Linked DNA regions of Neurospora crassa OR74A. The protein of the gene in region 1 purifies or fractionates together with the protein of each later gene. This does not show direct contact. Links are inferred from orthologs where the notes say so. Each region holds a gene or a part of one and is shown on either strand. Other genes may lie near its edges.

Region 1 (4,056 bases):
GAAGTGATGGGAAGGGAAAGGAGAGGATATTGGGAAAGGGGAAGGGGAGGATATTGGGGACGAGGTGAAATTTGGTAAAGTTGTTAGGTTGGTTTGTGTCGGGGAGTTTCCGTCTGTTATGTAGTTCAGGTTCGGGGGGTCGATTGGGGCTGCAGATAGAATAGGTATCGATGTAGGTCGTTCTGAAATAGTAGACTGTCATCAGTGGGTTGTTTCATGCTTTGTTGTTGGAGGTTAGTGTTGAGTTGGTACCGGTTGTCAGCTACCTAATTTGGGTATTGATTATGAATCCCTACAAAGGATCCTTGATAGAGAGTGACACTCAGGACCTCCATGCTTTCCATCAGCCATATCAACATCACGATCTTTCCAATTGCGTAGCAAAATAGATATGATGTGGTTTGTTCAAGGTCTTTCTTACCATTTATCAAATGAAACTGTCAGCATGATAATATGTTCCATCCTCACATGGAAAGACACCCGAGATGACCGAACGGCACAGCATCAGAAATACCACACCAACGGAGCAGCAACGTAAAGTAAAAATTAATTGTTGATTTGAAGCCCTCCAGTTTTACTTTTCAACCAAAAACGCCTTGGCAGCTTGCGCAAACAACAACAAGTAAACAGCAAAGTAGCAACACAAAAGAAAACACCCACTATGCTCCACACCGAATGCCCGATGGATATCTAAGAGAGAACATTGACAAATCATCATCCCCTTTTCGTATTCTAACCAACAACAACAACAACACGAACACCGAATCCCGCCTCGCTTAGTGACGGTTCTGCTTCGGCTGGCTACCATACGCTCTCCTGCTCGTCTGCTTCTTGTCACGCGACATGCTGGAGGCCAGGGTGATGTCTACCCTGGGAGGGGTGGAGAAGCCGAAGGACTGTTTTTGTAGTACGTTAGTGACTGTTCTGGTGTTGGGGAAGAAAAAGGGAGAGAAGAGAAAACATACCTTGGCCACCTTAACCAAGTCAAGCTTATGGATATCAAACACCGACCGCAAACTGTGCGAAGCATAGGCGTGGAGATACGACCTGTAACCGTCCTTGGCGCTCTGGTTAAGGTAGTAGTTCTGGCCGATCAGCTTCTCCAGCTGGGACTGAACGTTGAGGATCTTGCTCTTGGGGAAGTCGTATTCCACAACGGGGACCTTGGCGGCCTTGAGATGGGCGAGGAAACCCAACTCGTTGGGCTGGAGGAAGAGCAGCGAACGGCCCTTGGTGTTGTTACCACGGGCGGTACGACCGACGCGGTGAATGTAGTCGCGCGGGTCATCAGGAGGATCGAACTGGACGATCCAATCAACGGCGGGGATGTCGAGACCACGGGCGGCAACGTCCGTGCAGATGAGGGTGCCCTGCTTGGCGTTGCAGAATTCGAAAAAGGTGTTTGTGCGCTTCTGCTGCTTCTGCTTGCCGTGGAGATCGAGAACCTGAAGATCGATGTACTGGAGAAGTTCGGAGTAGTACTTGACCGAGTTGCAGGACGAGAAGAAGACAATGACCTTCTTCTTCTGCATCTTCTTGAGGAAAGAGAAGAGGAGCAGGAAGCGCTTGTCGGCGTCGACGACAACGTAGCCTTGGTCCAGACCCTCGACCGTGCTGAACTGCTTCTCCTCATCGACGTTGACGTAAAGAGGACCGGGACGGAGCGAGATACGGGCGAGATCCTCAACCTTGGTGGTTTGTGTGGCGGAGAAGAGCATGGTCTGACGGTCCTCCTTGGGCAGGATCTTGATGATCTGGCGCATTTCGTCCTCGAAACCAATCTCGAGAATACGGTCGGCCTCGTCGATGATGAGCGATCGCATGTTCTTGAACACAAAGGGAGTGTTTTGCAGGTGATCGAGCAGACGACCGGGAGTAGCAATGAGCAGGTTGACGCCCTTGCCCAGCTTCTCGGCCTCAGCACGACGGTTGGCACCGCCGATGACGACACCGTATGTTTGGGAGTGGTTCTTCATGAGCTCGCGGGCGACGCCGAAGATCTGGAGAGCCAATTCGCGGGTAGGAGTGACGACAATGGCACCGGTACCGTTTCTCGGCTTGAAGCGCAGGGAGCTGAGCATCTCGATAGCGGGAATGAGGAAGGCGAGGGTCTTGCCGGAACCGGTCTTGGCCGCACCGAGGACGTCCTTGCCGGCGAGCAGAGGCGGGATACCTCTCCTCTGGATCTCGGTCATCTTGGTGAAGCCCATTTCGGCAATGGCCTTCATGGTCTTGTCGGACAGGTTGAGCTCGGAGAAGTCGGTGGCATTGGTCGCGATGGACGGGGCGATGAGGGAGTCGTTGGTCTTTGTGAGTTCGTCGCCGGCCTCAGCGTCCTTGTCGTCGCTGTCCTCCTTGTCCCCGTTGCCGGTGGGGATGACCTCGTCGCCATCTTGTTGTTCCTCCGCCTTTTGGGCATCGTTCTCCTCCTCGGGGGTGGCGTCCTCGACGACCTCTTCGGCGGCCTTCTTCTCCTTCTTGTCCTTCTTCACCTTCTTGGTCTTCTTGTCGGTGGCGGCGCCATCTTCGGTCGCAATCTTGGCGTCCTTGAGCTTGCGCTTCTTGCTAAATTCGGAAGCCATCGTGATGGCGTGGGGGGGTTGGTACTGTCGGTGGGTGGTTGCGATACTCTGGGAAAAGGGCGTCGCAATGGTTCCGTTCAAATTCCCAGCGAGTCGAATCTGTTATCCTTCCTCTGCCTTCTCTTTCGCTGGGGATTTTTTTCTTATCGCTTGTTCGATAACCAGGGATTACACCAGGCGGTGAAAATTTTGCCAATTCTGCCCTCTTCTCCTGATGAAAACCTGGTCTGTGCGCTACAGCCGTCCCAGTGTTGACCCCACTTTTGACTGCAGATCAGCCGAACCCCGGAACCCGCCAATTGTGCCCCCAATTGCTTGCGAGAGTCGAGAACTGAACTTGTCCATTTCCTCTTATCTTCAAATCCGCATTATGTTGTTTTCTTCTCTGATATTCGTTTATTATCACAACGCTTTCACCTCTCCTGCAATTACTCCAGTCTGTCATAGACATGATATACTCAACGTAACCGCGTGTAGTCGGTCTTTCATGTTCGTTGTCCCTCTCACGGAATTAGGCTCTGGATGTCGTCCATGGTGGCATTGCTTTACACTGCGGATATTCAAACGCTGTACAGTACCTCTGAGATCCTGGCATTGCAGTATTCTTCTTATGTTACATTTCTATTCCAAAGGTTTAGTGGATTGAGACAGACCAGTCAATAGCCTGGTGGACTTTGCAGTTCCCGTCCAGCGGACGACTTCGAAGGCCTTGACACAAGTCCATAGTCAGGCTACGGGTTGCCTTGATCGATAATCGATAATTCGGGGCAGCTGGAAACTTACCCCGTCTGCGGGATACAGGGCGCAAGATTGGAACGTACCAGTCAGCTTCGAATCCAGGTCCCTGGGTTGGAAGTGTCACTCGCCGAGAGGCCCCTGGGTCGATACATAACAGTACACATGGCAGATCAATATCCTCGCATCATTACATTGGCTGAAGTGAAGTTTCATGAACCCCTTCGGAATCCTTCATATTCTCTCAAGGCTGACGGGATGCTATCTTGGTCACGTCGGAAGTAACAACACCTTTATTACATGAAAACATGATCATTTTCCATGGAGTTGACCGAGTCACAAGTGTGGTTCGGTCTTTGGCTCACTGCTGCCTTGGGTCGCATCTTTCCACGATCTGAGGCTGAGAATGGTTCCAATGGGAGGTATCAGCACGGAAGTTGATGTTCATGATATAATCTGGTCCCATGGCCCTATTCTTCAACACCACTCGCTCAACACCACGGACAGACATCACGGAAACAATCCAGAAGGCATCCCATAAAATAAAATCGGACAAGAACTTCTGGTTCTTGAATCGAAACCACGTTTATGTTAAATCTCGATACACTCTGTATCTCACTTCCCCGTCTTTCTGCTGCCAAGTGGTGCCCCAGGAGGCGTAGACACGGCTCAAGCCGATCGGGCTGGTAATTTGGCTTCGAATTGCCTAGCTCCCGCTTGCCCCTTGCGATTGACTTTG
Region 2 (3,400 bases), on another chromosome or scaffold:
TGGCCCGAGCGCCTGCACGGAACAACCCGCATCCAAACCTCCTTCTCTCACCACACCCTCACGGGAACATGCTTCCAACGAGTTCACGAGTCACGACAGTTTACTTGCATCCCAGGCTTCTCAGTCGCGGGAAACTGCATAGAACTTTTCGAAAATGCATTCCTAATGCCCGAGTCTCCGAACACTCCACATGTACATACATACATACAGCTGCGGACAGTTTAAGTTTCAGTTTCAGTGGCATGGGCTGGGCTTGACGAGAATGCAATCGCCCTTTTTCAAAACCGTTGAAAAGTAGGTAGGTAGCTTCCCGATGGCATACATACCTAGTGACGGCGGAGGCGGAGGCGGTGAAAGGAGGAGTGCCGAGGATCCATGGAACAACGGTAAAAGAAGCCACCACGTGAATGGGATGCGTTCCGGAGGTTGTACGATACATGCAAAGTATGGATGGGATGGGTATGGGCTGTTTGGACGTGATGGGGAAAGAGACCGGGGAGTCTCATCAGGTTGGATGGATATCCTACATTTATGGTCCAGTCAAGACGACCACGAGAGAGAGAGGGGACATGGCGAAATAGATCATTGTGAGAGGAGGGAAGCTATACTGAACTGCTTCATGGTGTTAGAGAACGACAGGCCAGGTAGGTCCGTAGTAGGTGGATGAGAGCATTCTTGATGCTCGCCGGGAGCAATGACTGGAGAAATCTGGTTTTATGTCAGAGTAGAACGGTTTTAAGGAATCTGTATTGTGAACCCGAAGTGTAGAAGAACACCATCCCAATATGTTGGCTTCGTGTATTCAGAATCTTCTCAAGTGTGCTGACCTTGTAAGAGTGATGCCAGAGTTTTGTGATGTTGCTGACTTGGCAATCATATTGCTCAATGCTTGTTTCCCAAAGAGCAAGTGATTATCGAGTGATCAGAACAAGAATATGGAACTCAAGGTTGACTCCATCACCAACCTAATTGTGATGAGACGGCAGAAATGGAAATGATTTTGGTTGCCGTTGCAGTGACGTTGAGGCGTGAAATGGAATGGAACCTAACAGCCCGTGAACCCCTGAACGACAGGCAGGGGAAAGCCAGCGCCCAGTGGACGAGCGGACAATCTTGACCCCACCTGCCCCACAAAATTTCGAGTTCAAGGTCTCCTCTTATCGATAAGCGCCGTTCTGGAATTTCTTTGCTCGACCATCACGACGACGATTTGCAGGTGAAGGAGACAGTCCCCAGTCCACATCACCACCTTGCGGTACCTATCCAATCCACCCACTACCGTCATCGCATAACCAGACCGCCAAAATGCTCCGCCAAGTGTACGTCAATCGATCATGACAATGGAACATACCGAACATTAGCTGACAGTTCTCTTCTCCGCACAGCAAGCCGCGGACAGCCCGTTCCAAGAGGGCGCTCGAGAAGCGTGCCCCCAAGGTCAATGAGAACCCCAAGACCGCCCTCTTCCTTCGCGGCACCACCTGCAGCCAAGTCGTATGTCACCTCCTCCATATCCTCTCCTCCTATATATGATGGTATCATCAAAATCTAATACAGTCCGCAGACCCAAGATGCCATGCAAGATCTCTACTCGCTGCGCCAAACCCACGCCAAGCGCTTCCACAAGAAGAACCCCGTCCACCCCTTCGAGGACGCCAGCTCCCTGACCTTCTTCTCTGAGAAGAACGACACCTCGCTCATCCTCTTCGGCTCCAGCAGCAAGAAGAGGCCCCACACCATCACCTTCTGCCGCACCTTCGACTACAAGATGCTCGACATGCTCGAGTTCTACCTCGACCCCGAGACCTTCCGCAGCATTGCCCAGTTCAAGACCAAGAAGGTGCCCGTAGGCACCAAGCCTTTGATGGTGTTCGCCGGTACTGCTTTGTATGTCCCCCGATTCTTGTGACAAAGAGGAAGGAGTAGTGAATGAACGTCAGCTAACCGAGTACCACAGCGAATCCCCCGTCCCCAACGCCTTCACCACCGCCAAATCCATGCTCATCGACTTCTTCCGCGGCGAGCCCTCAGACAAGATCGACGTTGAGGGTCTGCAGTACTGCGTTGTCGTTTCCGCCGACGAGCCCACTTCCTCCTCCACCGATCCCTCGGACCCCTCGACAAAACCCACCCTCCACCTGCGCGCCTACCTGATCCGCACCAAGCGTTCCGGCCAGAAGCTCCCCCGAGTCGAAGTCGAGGAGCACGGCCCCCGCATGGACTTCCGCCTCGGTCGCCTCCAGCAGCCCGACGCGGACATGCTCAAGGCTGCGATGCGCAAGCCCAAGACCAACGAGGAGCGCACCAAGAAGAACATCAGCATGGACAGCATCGGTGACAAGATTGGTAGGATCCATATGGGCAAGCTGGATCTCAGCGAGTTGCAGACGAGAAAGATGAAGGGTCTCAAGAGGAGCAGGGATGTGGTGGATGAGGACTTTGATGATGCGGATATGCCGATGGAGGGCGTCAAGGAGGTCAGTGACAGGATCGTGGGGCCGAGGAAGAAGAAGGCGAGGGATGTCGTTGAGTTTTGAGTTGAGCAAGAGTAGGGAGACGGGAGAATGAGGGGTTGAGGGGATGAAGAAGAAGGCAGGCAGGGAGGAGGTTTAATCTTTTTTCTCTCACAATTGTTGCGATCATCCACCAAGACACAAGGCGTTTTTGGGAGTTTTTAGTTTTATTACTTTACTTTATCTTATATCATTGGCTGCTGCTGCTCTTGGGGAAGATGAACATTCATGCCAGATCAGATCATCAACAGAAAAGAAGAGATGACCAAAGCTGGAGTTATTGATGGATGATGGGTTGTTCGTGAAGTTGCCTTGCCAAAGCTTGTAGACCTAGACATCTATCTAGCATATACGTGATATTTATACCAACCAACATATGGGACCATAGGATCAACCGATCGACCGGCCGAATTTGCCGCTACAGCTTTGTTTGGAAGAATCTAGTATTGTCAGCACTCGCTGCCTACTATCACATGGCACTCATGCTATTTCCCTCTTCTACCTGGATACCTTGCTACCTTGCTACCTTGCTACCTTGCTACCTTGCAACTATCTATAATCATAGAAAAAAGACAATGCCATAATCATGTACAACCATAGGAAAACCTATGAACTATTCCCTGTTTCGATCTTTGGTTTGGAAACGTCTATAAGGGGTGTCGGTGAGGCAGTCTGCAGACTGATTTAGTACAAAATTATGAAACCAAATATCCATGCCGAGAACGATTGATTAGTGTATATGTTGACTGACTACAAGGTTATGAATGAAATGCCTGTACCAGAAATTGTGTTTGTTAGAGCAGAGTTGTATCAATCAATGATGGCTTCCTTATGCTTGTCTATAAAGAGACTAAAGCCAGTCCCACCAAAGAGTTAAGACTCGAGAT
Region 3 (4,183 bases), on another chromosome or scaffold:
TCTCTGGCCATCCTGAAGGCTCGGTAACACATCTGGGATTTCCTCTTCCGAGATGGGCCTGAGAGGACTGGATGGAGTATGAGATCGTTCTATGAGAGGACCGGCTAGATCACGAAGAGCTCTTTGGGAAGCGCTGGGGTGGTTATTCGCTATGACTCGGGGAGTAAAGAAGCGCCTGAATTTCCGGGGGGTGATGGACGGGTTTCGACGTTCCTTGGCTGCGCTTCGCGGAGGAGGAGAGGACGGAATGGGGGGAATGTTGTTGCTGGTGTTCAACGACGACGAGCTCTTAACTCCCAAAGGGGTTGAAGTGCTGTTGGAGTTATCGGCCATGGCGAAAGGATTCTCTTCGACTACCAGAGCGAAGAGCTGGGTCCAGGCCGCTTATGCAACACGATACCTAGAGACGATGTACACGGGGCCGGCGACGCTGGATGCGCGCGACCTGGCAGCGAGGGGCCGCCGATGGCAAGGGTACGCGGAGACAGAGAACAGGCTGTGGTGATGGATATTTGTACAGAATCAGTTGAGCAACAGCTGGCGCAGAGGTATTGCTGGCAAGTGTCGACTGGATATTGGACAAGGGCTGACGTCGAAGTTGCAGGCTAGGCTGTGTGCAGCAAGCAGGCTGAGCTTGAAGAAGGACGGGAGGTCGAGGTCGTCGTTGAGAGACAAGGTAGGCGGCCGGGGGGGGCGTAAGGTATTGGCGCCGAGTTTATTGGTTGGCGGATTTGGTCGTAGTAGTATGGGTCCTCTGAGTGAAGTGGTGCGGCCGGAAGGGGTATGTCTATGTCGGTTTCTGGTGTAAGTGTGTCCTTGGTAGTATGGACTTGAAATTGAATGCGTAGGTGGAGATGTGATGGAATTGGATTTGGTTGTTCGTTTCTGTTGTGGATTTCCCTTGCGTGGTTCAGTTCCTAGAAGTACCTACGCTTTTGCTGAGTTCCCACTTGAGTACCTAGGTTTGCCGGGCAACCAAATCGACAGCCATGGAAACCTGACCTGACCTGGCCTGACCACCCATGGACTCCATTGAACACCTCCTCCAGTGGGCAGAGGCTGGGCGTGCGGTCCGTAGCGGCCGGGGGTCGGGGGGGAGGCGCCTAGAAGGAATGCGGTTTAGTGCTCCATCAGGGGAACGCGAAGACGCGGGAACAAATGACGCGCTGCATCGCGAAAGCTTAATGGCTTTTTCGTCCCATAAATCGCGGTTGCTGAAGACATGAAGATTGGTCAATGCACTGCACTTCAACCGCGGGATGTCTGGCCCACCCTGATGGGGCCCGTCTTGCTCGTTGCCCCACCAGCCGCCGGAGTCCAGTCTCTTATCGCTTATCGCCCTGCAGCTGTCATCCAAAAAAATCATTCTGCAACGACGACCCTGCAATCCCTGCGCTGCGAGTGCTGGAGGGAAGAACAGTCAAAGGGCACCCGGACTGCCATTTTCACCAACCCAAAAAAGTCACCAGGTCGTCCTGCTCAACAACACCAGTCGGAAACACCCCCCGACTTAGAGCACCGGCACCATGGCGATCCAAAAGAAACACGGCAAGGGCCGTCTTGACAAGTGGTACAAGCTTGCCAAGGAGAAGGGTTATCGTGCCCGTGCCGCCTTCAAGCTGATCCAGCTCAACAAGAAGTATGGATTCCTCGAGAAAAGCAAGGTCGCTCTCGATCTTTGCGCTGCGCCCGGTGTAAGTCATAGTCGTGAACATCCAGTTTATCATGGAGTGAACTAACCATGTCTGTGTCCGTCCCTAGTCGTGGTGTCAAGTCTGCGCCGAGACTATGCCGACAAACTCCATCATCATCGGTGTCGATCTTGCTCCCATCAAGCCCATCCCCAAGGTCATTACCTTCCAGAGCGATATCACCACCGAAAAGTGTCGCGCAACCATCCGCTCCCATCTCAAGACATGGAAGGCCGACGTCGTTCTTCACGATGGTGCGCCCAACGTCGGTACTGCTTGGGTCCAGGATTCGTACAACCAGGCCGAACTTGCCCTGCACTCGCTAAAGCTGGCCACCGAGTTCCTTATTGAGGGCGGTACGTTCGTCACCAAGGTGTTCAGATCCAAGGACTACAACTCCCTTCTCTGGGTTTGCAACCAGCTTTTCGCCAAGGTCGAGGCTACGAAGCCCCCTTCGTCCCGTAACGTCTCCGCCGAAATCTTCGTCGTCTGCCGCGGCTTCAAGGCCCCCAAGCGCATTGACCCCAAGCTTCTCGACCCCCGCTCCGTTTTCGAGGATGTGGCCGGCCCCGCCCCCAACAACGAAGCCAAGGTGTACAACCCCGAAGTCAAGAAGAGAAAGAGAGAGGGTTATGAGGAGGGAGACTACACCCAGTTCAAGGAGATCTCTGCCAGCGAGTTCATCAACACTGTCGATCCCATCGCCATTCTCGGCCAGTACAACAAACTCAGCTTTGAGCAACCCAAGAACGGCGATGTAGCATTGGCTGCCCTCGACAAGCTCCCCGAAACGACCGAAGAAATCCGTCTCTGCTGCGCCGATCTCAAAGTGCTCGGCAGGAAAGAGTTCAAGCTTCTCTTAAAATGGCGTCTAAAAGTACGGGAGATCTTCGGCTTCCCCTCCAAGAAGACCCAGAAGGCAGCTGTGGACGAGGAGGTTGCGGTAGTGGAGAACATGGATGAGGAGCTTAGGATCCAGGAGGAGCTGCAAAGGATCAAGGAGAAGGAGACCTCCAAGAAGAAGCGCGAGAGGAGGCGCGAGAATGAGAAGAAGCAAAAGGAGATTGTCCGCATGCAGATGAACATGACTGCGCCCATGGATATTGGTGTGGAGCAGGAAGGTCCCCGTGGTGAGGGTGCCATGTTCCGTCTCAAGACTATCGACCAGAACGCTGCCCTGAATAAGATCGCCAAGGGCAAGATGGCCGTTATCAAAGAGACCGAGAAACCGAAGGATTACGACTTTGGCTCCGACGGCGAAACCGACGAGAGCGACGAGGAGGCCGATCGTCTGGAGGAAGAGCTCGACAACCTGTACGATCAGTACCGGGAGCGGAAGGCGGCGGCCGATGCCAAGTACCGTGCCAAGAAGGCCAGGAAAGAGAACGGCGACGATGAATGGGAAGGCGTATCTGGCGATGAGGAGAAGGGTAGCGACGACGATGACGATGAGGAACTAGAAGTGGACAGCAGTGATGATGATTCCGACTCAGAGGATGGTGAATCTGGCAAGAAACTTATAACAGATCTAGACGGCCAGCCAGAAGAGAAGGATGGTCTGTCCAAGCGGGCCAAGAACTTCTTCAGTCAAGGTATCTTTGCGGAGATACCAGGACTTTTGGAGGAGCCAGAATCTGAGGAGGAGGAGGCTCAGGAGGCTGAGCTTGTTGAGGCTGTGGAGGACCTCAAGGTTACCAAGAAGGAGAAGAAGGAAGCCAAGGAAACCAAGGCCAAGAGCAAGAAGGCGGCCGAGGAGAGCGATGACGACGACGATTTCGAGGTTGTCAAGAACAACGAGGATGACGACTGGGAGAACGTTGAGAAGAAGAAGAAGAACGGCAGGCCTGGTAAGTTTCACTCAGTCCCTCTTCAGTATGACCTGTTAAGGGCAATGGCTGACTATGACAACTACAGACATCGACATCATCACCGCCGAGGCCATGACCCTCGCCCACCAGCTCGCGACCGGCGAGAAGACAAGTTACGACGTCATCGACGACGGTTACACCAAGCACGCCTTCAAGGACCGCGACGGTCTTCCCGACTGGTTCCTTGACGACGAGTCCAAGCACGACAAGCCGCACAAGCCCATCACCAAGGCCGCAGCGCAGGCCATTAAGGAGAAGCTCCGGGCCTACAACGCCCGTCCTATCAAGAAGGTGGCCGAGGCCAAGGCCAGGAAGAAGTTCAAGCAGGCCCAGAGGCTGGAGAAGCTCAAGAAGAAGGCCGATATGCTTGCCGGTGACGATGGCATGTCAGAAAAGGAAAAGGCTGCTAGCATTTCGAAGCTCATGGCGTCGGTTGCTAAGAAGACGAGGAGGGCGCCTATCAAGGTTGTCAAGGCTGCTGGTTCCAACAAGGGTCTCCAGGGCAGACCTAAAGGAGGTTCGTACTATCACTACCTTAAGATCTGGTGTGTTCTTTATGTTGGAATGATGCTAACTCGGTTTTTTCAATTTTATAGTCAAGGGCAGGTACAAGATGGTGGATCC
Region 4 (2,962 bases), on another chromosome or scaffold:
GACTTCGAGACTACCGAGAGCCTTCAGTCCGACGCCCAGGATGGAGAGCATGACAATGAGAGCGAGCAGGGCGACGAAAATGCCTGGTTCAGTGTCAGTCTACTGCCTTGAAAAAAGCGCCGACTTGAGATGATGATTACATACCAGGAGTGAAGAACTGATACTTCGCAAACAGCGGGCGGTTATCATAAGTGGTGTTGCCGTTGTCACTGCCCTCCTGAGAGCTAAACTGTCCGCGCTTGAGATCCATATGGACTGGTTCGATAAAGTCAGGCTGGTAAGCCTTGAACTCGTTAGGGTCTGATACCATGACAAGGGTATAGTCGCCCTCAAGGGTATCGAGCACCAGGCCCAACTGATCGTCTATAGTTGCACAGGTTAGTACGGGGCAATTCAATAGCCGACCCGTGATCCGAACTAGACATACCATTAGAAGCCAGGATTTGCGCCCTATTATCCTTGTGCTCCAAGGAAGGTAGATGCGTGAGGTCAACTTTGACGATACCGGCAACCTTCCCCTTGGCAGCGCAGGCTTCCTTCACATAATCCTCCAACGAATGGGTTGAGAGGTCGCCGACTACCTCCGCAACGCTGAAACGGCCCTTGATTTCCTTGCTTGCGATTGTGTCGCATAGACTGCGCATTTTACAGTGCGAGCCATCGCGGATGTCGGCGGCGTGCACGTTCGGCTGGGAGACGATAACGTAGTCTTTCGTAGGACAAGAGGAAAGGATCTCCTTGGCGGAAGCAATCACTTGATTGCTGGTTTGGAGCTGATCGTATCTTTCGGGTGTATTGAGCCTGGAAATCACGGTTTCGCAAGGGTCAGCATCTTCAGTCGAAGTCACATGCATGAAAGCGCAACTGAGTGGGATGTGGTGCACAAGATCGTGATGGCGCGAGGGCAACTTGAAGGGACACCACCCACGGCGACAATTGGGACATGACGTACCTGGAGGTGGAAAAGAGGACAAATGGTGAAGAGTCCGAGAAGGCATGCACTGCCGTAGAGGCGAGCAGAGTTGTTACTATCGAGAGTTTCATGATTTACAGATTATGCCAAACTGTCTGCGATATTGTCGTCGTCGTCGGTTGTTGTGTTGGATATGCGAATATGGTGTAGTGTACAAACTGGCAGCGTGGTGTAGCTCCAGGATCCAGAGCCCGGGAGCGTGGATGTCACTGCACTGAGAGAGCGCCAGACGTCTGATGCATGGGATTGGGTGCTGGGTGTGACCGGCAGGCTATGGACATCAGAGATAGGCGGTAGAATAGGGCAGAATACGATAAGGCCGCTTCCTGCATGGTGCCCCGTTCGAGTGAACATTTGAACAGGGGGGTGGCTATCAGTAAATTTACAGTTGAACCCAGAGCATCCAGATCGCTGCATCCAAACATCCTTCCCGCCCTTACCTCTACCTCGATTTCTTGTTCCCTTTTCTCCACAAAACCACCAAACGAACTTTCCACTCAAAGTCAACCCTCGAAGCCATTATGGAGAGGGATCCAGCGTTCTTTGTTGCCCCAAGGCCCAAAAAGAGTGGGCTCGCGCCGCCACCCAAGAAACGCAAGATAGTGCACAAGGTCGAGGAAATCACATTCGACAAGGACGCCCGCACCGAATATCTTACCGGTTTCCACAAGCGTAAACAGGCCCGAATCAAGGCTGCGAAGGCGCAAGCAGAGGAAGAGGCACGGCTGGAACGAATTAGGTTGAGAAAGCAGGTACGTACCGGATGACCGCTGTCTTTCTTGGTTGGTTCCATGGCAGTAAGTCTAATCTACGTCGGGTACAGATCAGAGAGGAGCGGCAGAAGAACCTCGAGGAACATATCCAAACAGTGCACAAGCTTCTCCACGAGGCAGAGCGTGCCGGTACCGACGACAAACCCACCGAGAACAAGTCAGACGACGAATGGGATGGGCTATCCGAAGACGATGTGGCGGAAGAGCCTGCGCTTGATGTCGAGGAGGAGTACATCGATGAAGACCGCTATACGACCGTGACAGTAGAAGCCGTCAGCGTAGACAGGGACGGCATCCACAAACCACGGACCTTGAAGGACGAAGAAGATTCCGAGACGGAGAAGAACAACAAGAAGAAGAAGGCGGCTGAAGAGGCGGCGCAGCAGGAAGCCGACAAGAAATCAAAACGAAACTTCCCAGAGAAAAAGAAGAAGAGAAAATTCACATACGAAAGCCGACATGACCGAAACGTCACAGAGAGGAAACAGAGGGCAAAGAAAGCGAAGCGGTCGTGATAGGTTAGATGGCGAAGGAAATAATCTACCGCTATTCCTGACAGCGGTATCCCTTACGATATCTAGATCTTGTTTAAGTACTGTATGTGCAATGCTGGGATGATGGATTATGCTTTGAACTAGTAGGCAATATGAGTTGTACGCGGGAGTTAGATAACGGCTTGCTTTGTCCGTCTTATCTCCCTACTCGACAACCCGAGGACAAACGGCATAAAGGGTCAGGCTGATATTATCGATGCGGTGACGCTGTGAACAAACGTAAAGAAAGGAATTTCCACCATGTTCCGACTGCATCCGTTAACCAACTTAGATGTTGGCAATATCAGCCTGGAACTCTTCCAAGCTCTTCTGTACCTCGGCGTACTTCTTGGCCATCTCTTCGTACTTGGACTCCCACTGGTCGCGCTCGTTCTCGAGGGCCTGAACCTTGCGCTCGAAGTGGCCGGCCTTGACGTCGGTCTGGCGAAGCCTGTTGAAGGAGGAAAACATCATGTTAGTCTAAGGTGTCGCAAAGAAAAGGGGTTCAAGGGCACAGGGGTTAGGACCCTCCCCCATCTCATCGTCCAGGGGTGCGTGTATTTCGATGCAAACGTACTTCTCGTTGGTCTCGCGGAGAGTCTTGTCAGCCTCCTCGGCCTCCTCTTCAAGAAGTTGAAGTCTCCGTGTCAGCGTCTCGTTCTGAGTGCCTTGTTGCGCGCCAT
Region 5 (4,098 bases), on another chromosome or scaffold:
AGTCTCCTTAGCAGCGCTCGCCTGACCGAGGAGGTAGTCAACCATGTAGACGTTTTCATCGGCCAACTTCCTGATCTCATCCCTCATCTTGGAAACAGCCCTTGCGACAACACGAAGCTCAACATCGACCTTGCCGCGGTTGGCAGACAACCACGCGCCGTGCTTGTCGACCAGAGCCTTGATCCAAAGAAGACAGAACTCAACGTGAGGGCTCTGCTCGGTCTGCGCGGCAACGTACCGCAGCAGCCTGGCAACGTACACGTTGGGAAACTGCTCGACCACCAGAGGGATGTCGGTGTAAGGGATGGCCTGGAAGACACGCTGGATCAGACCGGCCTCGTTCAAGCGGAAAGCCATGACGAGAGCCTTGAGGTAGTCCTTCTCCTTCTCGAGCACGGCCAGGGTAGAGGTGGGGGTGATCTCCATGTTGAGGTCAAAGGGATCGAACTGGATGGTGGTGTCCAGGCTGTAGATCAAAAGACCTTCTGTGGAGGCGGCGCAGAAAGCACTTCCGTTCGGGGAGAAGGCAACGCCGTTTACTCTCACTTCGGGATTCTTCCTCCGTGCGGAGGGGTCGCCGCGCTTGGAGCCTGGGAGTGACCTGTCTATCCTGTCCTCGAAATCGGAGGCCTCGCCTTGCTCGTCCAGGAGACCCTGGGGTCCAGCCTCGGTGAGAAGCTTGCTGTTGAGGAACTCTTGAGTGCCTTGAATTGAAAGATTGACGCTCACGGTGTACTTCTTCAGGAGAACCATGGTGGTGACGGAGTACAAGCAAATATACTTGCTGTTTCCGCCGGCCAAAAGGCACGATCCGTCTGTGCTGTATCTGATGGTGTTGAAAGCCTTGGTACCGGCAACATTGGCCGCAGTCCTGCGATCACCGATCTTCCGACCGCCGGAGACATCCCTGCGTCCATCAAGACCAGCTTGCTGCTCAGCTTCCGAGACCGACCAGAACGACAGGTTGCCGTCGAGAGTGGAGATGGCAATCTGGAGAGAATCTGGCCTAAAGGCAATGTCGAGAACATCCGAGTTGAGCTGGAGAGGCTCGCTTGTTTGTGTGCGGTTGAAGATGGACCAGATACGGGCAGTGCGGTCCCAACTACCACTCACAAGAAGACCGCCGTTAGGCGCAAAGGCCAAGGATGACACAGGGCCCTCGTGTCCCGAAAGACGATCTAGGAGCTGGCCAGTCTGGACAGACCAAATATGAATGTCGAAAGAGTCAACGGAGCCAGCCGCCACGATTTCGCCACTAGGATCAACTGCCATGCAAGAGAAAGATAGCCTTTCTGGTGCTGTAAAGGTCCTGAAGTTTCTGTATCTGATCAAGTCCCAAGCCCTGATGGAACCGTCCAAACTCGAGGTAAACAGGACATTGCCCTTCTTGGAGAACTCGCAAGCAGTGATGCCGCTCGTGTGCTCTGTGAAGGTAACAATGCAGAATCCCGATTCCGTATCCCACACCTTAATCTTTCCATCATCGGCGACTGTGACAATCCGCTGACCGTCCGGAGAGTAAACGAGGGAGTTCATCGAGTCGAAATGGCCCTGCTGCTTGAGAATGTAAGACTCGGACTGCCACTCCCACACCAAAAGCTGACCAAGCTTGGATGCGCCAAACGCCAGCCACTCGCCGCTCTTGTTGATCGTCACAAAGTCAATTTCGTTCTGGGAGATGCTGAGAGTGTGGATCATGTTGAAGTCGGGCATTTCGTAGAGGCCAAAGATACCGTTCGAGAAACCGGCAACCAGCAAGTTCGATTCGGGATGGAAAGCGGCGCATCGTACGGTGGCGCTGTTCTGCATGAAATAGTGCTTGTTGACTATCCTCCAGGCCAGGTCATCGTCGTCCACCATATCCTCGTCCTGTCCAGGCTTCGCAACGTATTGCCAGTCGAATACGGCGCCGTCCTTGCTGACTGTGTAAATCGTCTCTTGATCCTTGGAAAACCACGCGCCCACGACACCCTGCCTGTGACCGGACAGAACTGTAGGTGTGAACCCCTCCTCTTGATCAACACTCCATATCCTTGCTGTGAGATCCTTGGAAGATGTGAGGAAGAATCGCGAGTCGTGGGACCACTCGATGTGACGGACATCGTCGAAGTGTTGGACGTGGGTATGGTGCTTGACGAAGGGCGCAAACTCGAGCTCGCCGTCGGCGTTGGCGTCGGGTGTTGAGGGAACGTGCCAAACCTCGATTTTCCTGCCGAGTCCAACAATGAAGTGGCGCCCCGATGGCGAAAAGGAGAGAGCCGTTACTGGAGCCTTGAAGGAGAAGTGATATAGTACTACGCGCCGGGGCACGTTGGTGAGAATAGCTTGGCCATCTTCGTCTATGGAGAGTAGGAGGTTGCCCTGGGGCGTGAGACCGATACGCGCAATGTTCTTTCGGTGGGAGAAGGGAAGGGTATATGATTTGTTACTGCGACCGTGTTAGCCAGCTTACAAGCCATGCGCCAGGCAGGTGTGTAGGGAATCTTGAGACGTACTCGACAAGGTTAAAGACTGTCACCCTGTTGCCAACGGGCGAGAAGAGATGGGTACCGTCCGGGCTGAACAAGAGGTTGCCCTGGCAGTAGACTGTGCCCAGTAGATTAGAAAACTTGAAGTCGGTCTTCATTTTCAAACACTATTCCATGCCTCGACTGTCAACGTTGGAGATGGAGCAGAACTGGGATAGTATCTGGGGATTCGATTATGTACAGGAACTGGAGGACTCTTTCGAGTCTGTATAGGTAAGTGGAACAGAAGTTCAGTTACAGGCTGCTGCTGTTGCGCCTAGACCGCCCGTACGTTCAATGGCGATTCTGCCAGCCAAAAATTTCATAAACTTTTTGGCGGGGAATGGAGTCGGGTTAGCTCCTCGCTTTGGCACCAGCTGGCAAAAGACTTGGCGTATCTGGCAGCCTCACCGACCGCAGCGAGACCAACCACTGCACGGCACCACCAAGCACGGTCACCAAGCACAGTGCAAGGCTGGCAGAGCTGGCAATCAAAGGGTCAAAGGGTCGACCAAGTTTCCATGGCAATGAATGGCTGATCACCGCCAATGGCGCTAGCAGGGAAGGCACGCATCGATTAAATGCTCGGCGAGGGTACCTGGCAAGCGCGTTTCAGTGGAGAGCTGCCAGCGTAGGTCCGTCTCTGGGGACCTGGAATTGGGGAAGTGTGGGAAGCAAGTGGAAAAGGGGAGGGTCCACTCATTTCCCTGCCGCGCAGCCAGTCAAGAGCGGCCTTGTGTGGTGGCAGCTCTACACTACTGCAGAATGCCGGGCTCGAAAGGTGCCATTGGATTATATGGATCGTGTACCGTGCGCCTTCTCGGCATCATCACAGACGGCTGCCGTGGCCCCGCCCAGGCACCTCATCTGGAGGATGGAATCGAATGCTGCTTGCTCGCTGCTTGCTCCGTCCGTCTGCTGCCGCGGCCCTGCAGTGCCTGGAGTGCTTGGGGTTCAGTCAGTGTGGGCTAGGTTTGGCCTGGCGCTCCCGTCCCCGTCGCTGGTGCTCTCTCCTGCGTGGGTGTGTGGTGCTGGGTTGGGCCAGATGAATGTGGTGTGGAAATTTGAACAAGTAAATTCCCCTGAACGAAAGCACAGAGCTCCACGACGGGTCCCCCGTCCACTCACCACTGCAGTTCCATCCCCCGTCTGCCTCTCGCTCCCACCCGTCCACTGTCAACACCAACCTAATTTCGATTCCCATTCACGACCACCACCATACCCGTACACCACGCATCCCGCCTGACGCTCTTTTTCTCCAATTGCCGGTGCTTCTTCTCGCCGTTACAGCAACGGGATCGTGACTTAATCCTCTACCCATAATTATCTCCCAGTTTCGTGTTTCGCCCAGCTGAAGATGGCCCCTGCCACTACCGAGAGCGCCTCACCGATTGGCATTGCCAATCTGCCCAACCAGCGACACAAGATTGTTGCTAAGAGAGGCGCTGCTTTTACTATTATGGTGCGCTTCACTGTCCAAAGCTTGCCGAACCTCGCGCTTGTAAAACCAATGCTGACGGCGTGGGTGGATAGGTTGCTGGCGAGTCCGGCCTCGGCAAGACCACCTTCATCAACACGCTGTTCTCCACGA
Region 6 (3,118 bases), on another chromosome or scaffold:
GCGCCTGCGGCGGTTCCTGCGCGTGCTCGACCTGCCACGTCATTGTGCAGGACCAGGACATGTACGACCGGATGCCGGAGCCCGACGACGACGAGAACGACATGTTGGACTTGGCGTTTGGACTCACCGAGACGAGCCGGCTGGGGTGCCAGGTGCACATGACCAAGGAGTTGGATGGGTTGGTGGTCAAGTTGCCGAGCATGACGAGGAATTTGCAGGCTAGTGATTTCAAGTCCTAGACCGTGCCGTCATGGAATGAATGACATGGGATTGGGGGGAGGTAATATCAGGCGATGAAGGGTTGAGCATGGAGGAAGAAGAAGAAGAAGGTAGAGGTGAAGGGGCAGGGGATTCACTGTGGTGTAAAGAAAAATGGAGACGGACGACGGAATATATATGGCACAAACACGACATCTATTCCATTTCTGTCGGATTGTTGAGGCGACGGCGTTCAGCGCAGAGTTTATCGGATATCTGTGATGGGCAATGTTCATGTTGATGGATATGACGGATTGGCAAGAGCATGTTGACTGTTCATACTTCTGCATGGGGCTTGTACGTTGTTCAACTGTTTGCCCCAGATCAAGGGCACGGGGTTGTATATAAGAAAATAGCCTAGACCTTGACAATATGCAAACACAATAAACAATCACCCCTCTACACCAGAATGCAATTCCCTTAAGCCTCCTCCAAGCCACCCTTCTTCAACCCCCCACCACCGCTCGCAATCAAGTCCAAGAACCCTTTCCTCGACATCTCCGTAACCTTCTCTTCCCTCCTCTTCACACCCACGATTCCCTCCTGCCTCGCCGCCCGTTCCGCCTCTTGCGCCTTGACCTGCGCCGCCCTAACCGCATTAAACAGCTTCACCACACCCCTCTGCGCCGTCTTCTTCAGCCTCCTCTCCGTCTCCAGAATCTGACCCGTCGTCTGCTCGCCCTCCTTTCCATCCGGAATCTCCTCGATCTCGCCCGTCTGGATGTTGAGCGTCCTAGTCTTGCTAGGGACCAACACATCACGCACCCGACCCTTCTCAAAGGCCAGACGCTTCTGCTCGCGCAAACGCTTGCGCGCCTTGGCTTCGAGCGCTGCGTCGACCAGGGACTTGGCGGCGGCTGCAGACTCGGCGGAGCGCGCGACAATGGGGTCGGCGCGTCGCGAGGCGGGCAGCTTGGAGGAAAGCATTTTGGTGATGGAGGTGGCGAAGGCGTCGGGATCGTTGCGCTTGGATTTGGTTTGTCTCCTGTTGCCGTTCTCATCACCCGAGCCGTCGAGGTCGAATTCATCGTCGAGGTCGGAGCCCAGGTCGGAACCGCCGTCTAGGGAGTCGTCCTCGTCGTCTTCGGAATCTGGGGCGTCTTTGGCGACGAATTTGGGTTTTGTTTGCGACTTCTTGGAGGACTTGTTTGATGGTTGTTCGGCTTCGGAATCATCAGAGTCGGATGCTTGCTCTTCGTCTGTGGATGCGCCATCGTCGGCAACGAGGTTGTCTAGGTCTTCGTCGTCCGAGTCGAGGAGGTGGGCGGGAACGGCGGAGGTGCCGGCCTCCTCGTCGCTTTGGTCTTCAACATCTTGCTGCTCGTTGTCGGATTCCTCCTCTGAACTGCTGTGGTAGGCGGCCAATGCTTGCGCCTTCTGCTTCTTGGACGGTCGGACGGGCTTGCCCTTGCTGCTGGGGCCTTCTTTGCGCTTGGTGATGCCCATGGTTGTGATTGTGTGTGTGTCTGGTTTGATTGGATGTAGGTTGTATGTGAATTAAGCAGATGGAATAGTGGTTGTGTTTGGGATCGATTTGCCAGCTGATCAAGCCGAGGGGGAGAAATACGGGCAGAATTGTTTATCGCGGATTGGAGGTGCTGCCGAGATGGTCGAGGTTCGGAGTGCAGGTCCCTCCATTCGAAACTTCCCAATTGCTGAGGTGCTCTCCACTCAGAAATTTTTGGCGGTCGCGGCCGGCAATATGCCCTGCGTCCCTGTCCCTGTCTTGCGTCAACCCCACACTTGGTGGAACCAAGGGCAGCCCAGCGGGGATGAACGGTGGACCCGCTCTGCCGTCATCAGAATCACCCCTAACCCTAGTAAGCCGTGACTTCAACGGCTCAATTCGACGACAACCTCTTCCCATGACAACTCGACATTGACATTATCGAACAGTATGAAATTGTCTACGTGTTTCACATTTCGCGCTTTGGATCGATACGATCTCAAGCATATGGTCTCAGGACACGTTACTCACAAACGGGCGGCAGCGACGAGACCTAACAAAGTTGATCTGCCCCTGGACCGAACCTGAGCACCTCGATGAACAGCGGTCGGCATAATGTACAGACCTTTGTCTGAGCATGTTGCACTTCGGCGACCAATTGAATGTTGAAACTTTTGAACATCATTTACAGTCGAACGATGCATGACGATATACCTGAGCTCGATTAGGTAAGTAATGCACGTCAATTCCGGGTTTTACAGGTTAATTCACGTTGGACATACGCAAGCGGAACCTAGATGAATCCGACTGCCACCGTTGAATTGGTTCGCATTACATCGATCGCTACGGCTCCATGCACGATACCTCTTATCTTGCTGTACATACCTTCCTCTACAGAACACAGCTTCTGCCATCCAAGAGGCACGCTTCTGCAGTTACAGTACATGTACCTCCCTACTTTCCCGAGCCAGGTTTTCCTGACGGAGTGACCAGGTTCGATGTATTAGAAATCCGTGGAGCATCCAAGCTGCTACTGCCTGCCATCTCGCGCCATTTACTAGTAGGTAGTGACACGTGGGTGAGCGATTGGAGGAAGAGTATTGGATCGGTGCCCTCAGGTCCTGAACTTTGAGCTTCGCACCTTCCTGTCGCTAGGTCGCTTCTCCCAACTTTGCGTGTAAGTGATTGGGTCACGGTCTCATAAAACACCATTGCCATGGAGCAGAAGCAGTTCGATGTGAGCTGTAGAAGCAAAGCACGTCATGAACTTGTTCATTTCCAGAGATGGAACAACGCCAAGTGAAAAGGTGGGATATCAGCACACGGTTACGGGTTCGTCATGATATCCGAGAAGCAAGTCCGATACGGAAGTATCGTGAAGATCAATCTTCATACCTGAGCTAAGTCAATGCA
Region 7 (3,533 bases), on another chromosome or scaffold:
TACTATGTCCAACGGCTTCTCGAGACCTGGAACCGTCTGGCTGAGGCATGGTGTAACCCAGGATTGAGCGGGGTAGGAGTGGCAGGCAATATCCAAAATCCAATCATCTCGAGTGGCTGGACGTCACTTTTGTATCACAGCGGCCCGTCTGTGAGTTCCGTCGTCTGATTCTGTGATGTCTAATGGCACCACGGAGCGAGGAGTGGTCCGGTGCGCGTGTGCTGTGGCTGGGGGAGGAAGCAGTAGGTGTTGGGTTTGTAATTTTGATCCTTTGTACATTTCAGTAGATACCAAGTTTGAGAAGGAAGATTACGGTGAACCGCATGGGATAATTACCGACAAGAAACTGGAAAGAGATAGCGACATCTTGACTTTCCTATACTTAGTGTACGGTTTGTATCAGGAAAGAACGATCTCGGGACCCTTACTGTCGCAGGGCAGGAGCTAGTCTGGTGGAGCCTCAGGGGAACCCGACTCCACTTTTGACGCTTTCCCCGGATTCCGTCCCCGCATCTTTGAGTTAGCGCTGTGGATCTGATGGGGCTCTCGGTCAGCACCCGACCCTCAACTCCGCTGTGAGTGAGATGAAAGGAGCACTGTGATTGGGGAAGGAGTGAGGAAAGTCCATTGCACTTCAAGTTCAATCTGAGAGACGGAGATGCGTTATATCAACCAAGTGTCAAGGAAGACCTCTTTTTGTGTAAAGCCTAAGTAGTCACCTTCAACAGACACTGGCCTACTGCCGACGGAGTTTCCATCACAGAAGGTCTTGATCATTGTGAGAAATGACAGACAATTCAAGATCCGATTTCGCCACAGTCTCCGAGAAGAACTTGACGCCTTCAGTTGTAACTCGAATAGATTCTTCAGACATGGTAAAAATTGCAGTCACGAACACCGATGATACCCGGTGTTGAACATTGTAGAGGGTGTCAGACTTTAATCGTTAGCAGTAACTGATGGGAAAGAAAGAGAGTGGAGCTAGCAATGTTAGGGTCCGCGAGAGTCCTGTTAACAGAAACCAATGCCATCTTGGTGACTGAACATTGTCGCGAAGCGAAAAGATCGTGAGCTCAAGAAGTATTGTTGGATGGATCGGGGAATATACTGATTTGGGAAAAGTAAACATGCCCGTCGACTTGAGCATCATGGCCATCGCTTGTCGAGAGAGCATCGAAAGTAAGCAGCCGCAATTGCCGGCCAACTTACATCGAGGAATCGATCATCGGGAACCATCATTGTCAAATCAAGAGAAAAGAACCGTCTGGGCTGGCGTATATGCACGCTCAACCCTAACCCGAGTCTTGTCGGCTGATAGCACGATAGCGCTAAGATAAGCCAAGCGTCCCCTCCGCCCCACTTTACTTTTCCAACACCGACATCCAGAAATTTTCAGAAGCGGCGCCCTTGACCGTTTCGCTGTTGTTGACTTTGTTGCTTGCTTCCCCCTCTCCTCCCCCCCCTCCCGAACAGACAACGAGCCCATCCTCACCCGGCTCGCTGCTTCTCTCCTCAACCACCACCACCACCACCACCACCACAACCACCCACATAACCCGTCAAGATGCGTGTCGATCCCTGTTTCTTTTGCGGCCGTCCGGCCTGGCCCTCCAAGGGCATTACCTTTATGCGTAACGATGGTATGTTTTTGTCATACTTCAGTTCCCCATCATCAACCTCTCCGTCAAGGCCAATTGCTAACCAGGGTACAACTAATGTTACAGGCAAGTCCTTCCGCTTCTGCCGCTCCAAATGCCACAAGAACTTCAAGATGAAGCGCAACCCCCGCAAGCTCAAGTGGACCAAGGCCTACCGCAAGAACGCCGGCAAGGAGATGGTGGTCGACAGCACCCTGCAGTTCGCCGCCCGCCGCAACGTGCCCGTCCGCTACGACCGCGAGCTCTTCGCCAAGACGGTCAAGGCCATGGAGCGTATCTCGGAGATCCGCCAGCGCCGCGAGCGCATCTTCTACAAGCGCCGCATGGCCGGCAAGCGCGCCCGCGAGGTCGCCGCCGCCCGCAAGCTCGTCGCCGAGAACGAGCACCTCCTCCCCCGCCTGCGCGGTTCCGAGAAGAGGAGGCTGGCCGAGCTCGCCCAGGAGACGGGCCAGGACGTCGAGGAGCTCGAGCGCGAGGAGCTGGCCAAGAAGGCTGCCAGCAAGAAGACCAAGGCGTTTGGCGGCGAGGTCAAGAGGCTCCGTGTCAGGACAGACGGCGGCGTGGAAGAGATCTCGGAGCGCGTCGCTGGTGGAGGCTTGGTCGATGAGGATGACGATGACGAGAACGATTTCGAGGACGTGGACGATGACGACGAGATGGATACCGACTGAGCGCCCGAGTCTCTGTAACTATTACTACCGCGACCACCACCACCGCCAACCACCACCACCACCATCACCAACACCGAAACCAGCCACCTCTTTTCTCGGGATCATTCGTTGTTTGCTTGTTTTCTTCGGACGAACTCGCTCCCGCGGCTGTCGATATCCCTATGCGGGGGAGGGTTCTGCTGTATTTTTTCGGCGGCCTTTCCTCGCCACTGAGACCTGCCTAGTTGACACCAGCAACAAAGCCCAACTACGACGAACGGGTCTTGGTGTATAAAGACGGAACGACCAGAAAGAGGACAGGACAGACAGCAATTGGTTGACCAACAGCCAATACTCTAACTGTAAAAACAGTAACTGTGGCTTTGGACAGACAGACAATCCTCCCCCCCGAGCGATGGCTGCTTTCGGGGCTTGCTTATACCCCTTGCTTGGTTGGTTGGTCGTTGGTCGCTACAGGTCATTGGAAAGATTCATTATATTCAGAACCATGGTTTTCAAGGGGGGGATCAATCAGTCTACCTTTAGTAGCAAAGCATATTTTCGGTTTTATTGGAATCGGCGAATTTGGCGTTTAATAGACACGGGGAGACCCACAATATGAAGTACTTGTTTGTTTTTTTCTTTCTGCCATGTCTTGTCTTGTTTTATAGTAGTAATCCTCAGTACTTTCTGACTCGACAAGTTACTCGTTTCTGTCTTCTGCCAACGTGACTGACCTCTGTAGCTCGAGACCTGACTAGGTATCCTAGCCAAGGATATATCCAAGGTCAATCTTGGACTACTACCCGTTCGTTGATTCCATCTTGCACTCAGTCGACAACACAACAACTCTAAACAACACCTAAAAGACACAGTTGGTTCAAGTCGGTAACTAAATACAAAGTATTATATCTTTTATCATTTGTATTATTATAAGCGTTAAGACCCGACAAAACCAAACCAACCCCTTCCTTCGCATGCTAATGCTCCGATCGCCTTGCTTTAGCCAGCCAGCCAAACCGTAAGCACAAAGCACAGCCAAGTTTCTCATTATAGTTTGCTTCCCCATTTGTCAGGTTGTCTAGCCCACCCACCTCTATTTCCCTCCCCCCACCCCCCATCATCATCATCATCAAGTTCCATCTCATTCTCTCATCATATATTTACCCCATTATATCGTTAACCTCGTTAACATCGTCAACATGATCATCATCCCCATTGCTGT

The links.
Region 2: the proteins of NCU09349 (region 1) and NCU08595 purify together in Saccharomyces cerevisiae (affinity purification with mass spectrometry; 11 studies listed by BioGRID, with this or other methods). This does not show direct contact. The link is inferred for Neurospora crassa OR74A from reciprocal best matches to the Saccharomyces cerevisiae genes HAS1 and RPF2.
Region 3: the proteins of NCU09349 (region 1) and NCU03669 purify together in Saccharomyces cerevisiae (affinity purification with mass spectrometry; 3 studies listed by BioGRID). This does not show direct contact. The link is inferred for Neurospora crassa OR74A from reciprocal best matches to the Saccharomyces cerevisiae genes HAS1 and SPB1.
Region 4: the proteins of NCU09349 (region 1) and NCU01203 purify together in Saccharomyces cerevisiae (affinity purification with mass spectrometry; 3 studies listed by BioGRID). This does not show direct contact. The link is inferred for Neurospora crassa OR74A from reciprocal best matches to the Saccharomyces cerevisiae genes HAS1 and RRP17.
Region 5: the proteins of NCU09349 (region 1) and NCU03794 purify together in Saccharomyces cerevisiae (affinity purification with mass spectrometry; 5 studies listed by BioGRID, with this or other methods). This does not show direct contact. The link is inferred for Neurospora crassa OR74A from reciprocal best matches to the Saccharomyces cerevisiae genes HAS1 and PWP2.
Region 6: the proteins of NCU09349 (region 1) and NCU07795 purify together in Saccharomyces cerevisiae (affinity purification with mass spectrometry; 4 studies listed by BioGRID). This does not show direct contact. The link is inferred for Neurospora crassa OR74A from reciprocal best matches to the Saccharomyces cerevisiae genes HAS1 and RRP15.
Region 7: the proteins of NCU09349 (region 1) and NCU05235 purify together in Saccharomyces cerevisiae (affinity purification with mass spectrometry; 3 studies listed by BioGRID). This does not show direct contact. The link is inferred for Neurospora crassa OR74A from reciprocal best matches to the Saccharomyces cerevisiae genes HAS1 and RLP24.

Annotation. Positions count from the first base shown.
Region 1 is NC_026502.1:4,196,553-4,200,608, reverse strand, and holds NCU09349 (ATP-dependent RNA helicase has-1), read right to left. Parts: upstream 2,726-4,056; 5' UTR 2,583-2,725; coding exon 966-2,582; intron 897-965; coding exon 777-896; 3' UTR 501-776; downstream 1-500. UniProt on the Saccharomyces cerevisiae protein: ATP-dependent RNA helicase involved in 40S ribosomal subunit biogenesis. Required for the processing and cleavage of 35S pre-rRNA at sites A0, A1, and A2, leading to mature 18S rRNA.
Region 2 is NC_026501.1:9,517,966-9,521,365, reverse strand, and holds NCU08595 (ribosome biogenesis protein), read left to right. Parts: upstream 1-1,203; 5' UTR 1,204-1,305; coding exon 1,306-1,319; intron 1,320-1,385; coding exon 1,386-1,494; intron 1,495-1,564; coding exon 1,565-1,887; intron 1,888-1,957; coding exon 1,958-2,537; 3' UTR 2,538-2,900; downstream 2,901-3,400. UniProt on the Saccharomyces cerevisiae protein: Required for biogenesis of the 60S ribosomal subunit.
Region 3 is NC_026505.1:2,021,302-2,025,484, forward strand, and holds the start of NCU03669 (AdoMet-dependent rRNA methyltransferase spb1), read left to right. Parts: upstream 1-1,383; 5' UTR 1,384-1,526; coding exon 1,527-1,694; intron 1,695-1,761; coding exon 1,762-3,538; intron 3,539-3,605; coding exon 3,606-4,076; intron 4,077-4,155; coding exon 4,156-4,183. Other genes in the region: NCU03668 (WD domain-containing protein), read right to left, coding at 1-333. UniProt on the Saccharomyces cerevisiae protein: Required for proper assembly of pre-ribosomal particles during the biogenesis of the 60S ribosomal subunit. Specifically methylates the guanosine in position 2922 of the 25S rRNA at the stage of 27S pre-rRNA maturation.
Region 4 is NC_026505.1:3,223,999-3,226,960, forward strand, and holds NCU01203 (hypothetical protein), read left to right. Parts: upstream 1-1,374; 5' UTR 1,375-1,494; coding exon 1,495-1,725; intron 1,726-1,796; coding exon 1,797-2,261; 3' UTR 2,262-2,462; downstream 2,463-2,962. Other genes in the region: NCU01202 (hypothetical protein), read right to left, coding at 1-83, 145-363, 428-801, 953-1,044; tpm (tropomyosin), read right to left, coding at 2,568-2,730, 2,857-2,962. UniProt on the Saccharomyces cerevisiae protein: Essential protein involved in ribosomal RNA processing.
Region 5 is NC_026505.1:2,437,194-2,441,291, forward strand, and holds the start of NCU03794 (periodic tryptophan protein 2), read right to left. Parts: upstream 2,801-4,098; 5' UTR 2,627-2,800; coding exon 2,496-2,626; intron 2,429-2,495; coding exon 1-2,428. Other genes in the region: NCU03795 (cell division control protein 12), read left to right, coding at 3,865-3,969, 4,041-4,098. UniProt on the Saccharomyces cerevisiae protein: Required for bud-site selection and cell separation. Also involved in nucleolar processing of pre-18S ribosomal RNA.
Region 6 is NC_026505.1:268,756-271,873, reverse strand, and holds NCU07795 (DUF1665 domain-containing protein), read right to left. Parts: upstream 1,874-3,118; 5' UTR 1,705-1,873; coding exon 679-1,704; 3' UTR 501-678; downstream 1-500. Other genes in the region: NCU07794 (2Fe-2S iron-sulfur cluster binding domain-containing protein), read left to right, coding at 1-239. UniProt on the Saccharomyces cerevisiae protein: Constituent of pre-60S ribosomal particles. Required for large subunit rRNA maturation, in particular processing of the 27S pre-rRNA at the A3 and B1 sites to yield 5.8S and 25S rRNA.
Region 7 is NC_026504.1:5,664,041-5,667,573, forward strand, and holds NCU05235 (ribosome biogenesis protein RLP24), read left to right. Parts: upstream 1-1,414; 5' UTR 1,415-1,564; coding exon 1,565-1,640; intron 1,641-1,724; coding exon 1,725-2,329; 3' UTR 2,330-3,033; downstream 3,034-3,533. UniProt on the Saccharomyces cerevisiae protein: Involved in the biogenesis of the 60S ribosomal subunit. Ensures the docking of NOG1 to pre-60S ribosomal particles. Activates and recruits ATPase AFG2 to cytoplasmic pre-60S ribosomal particles.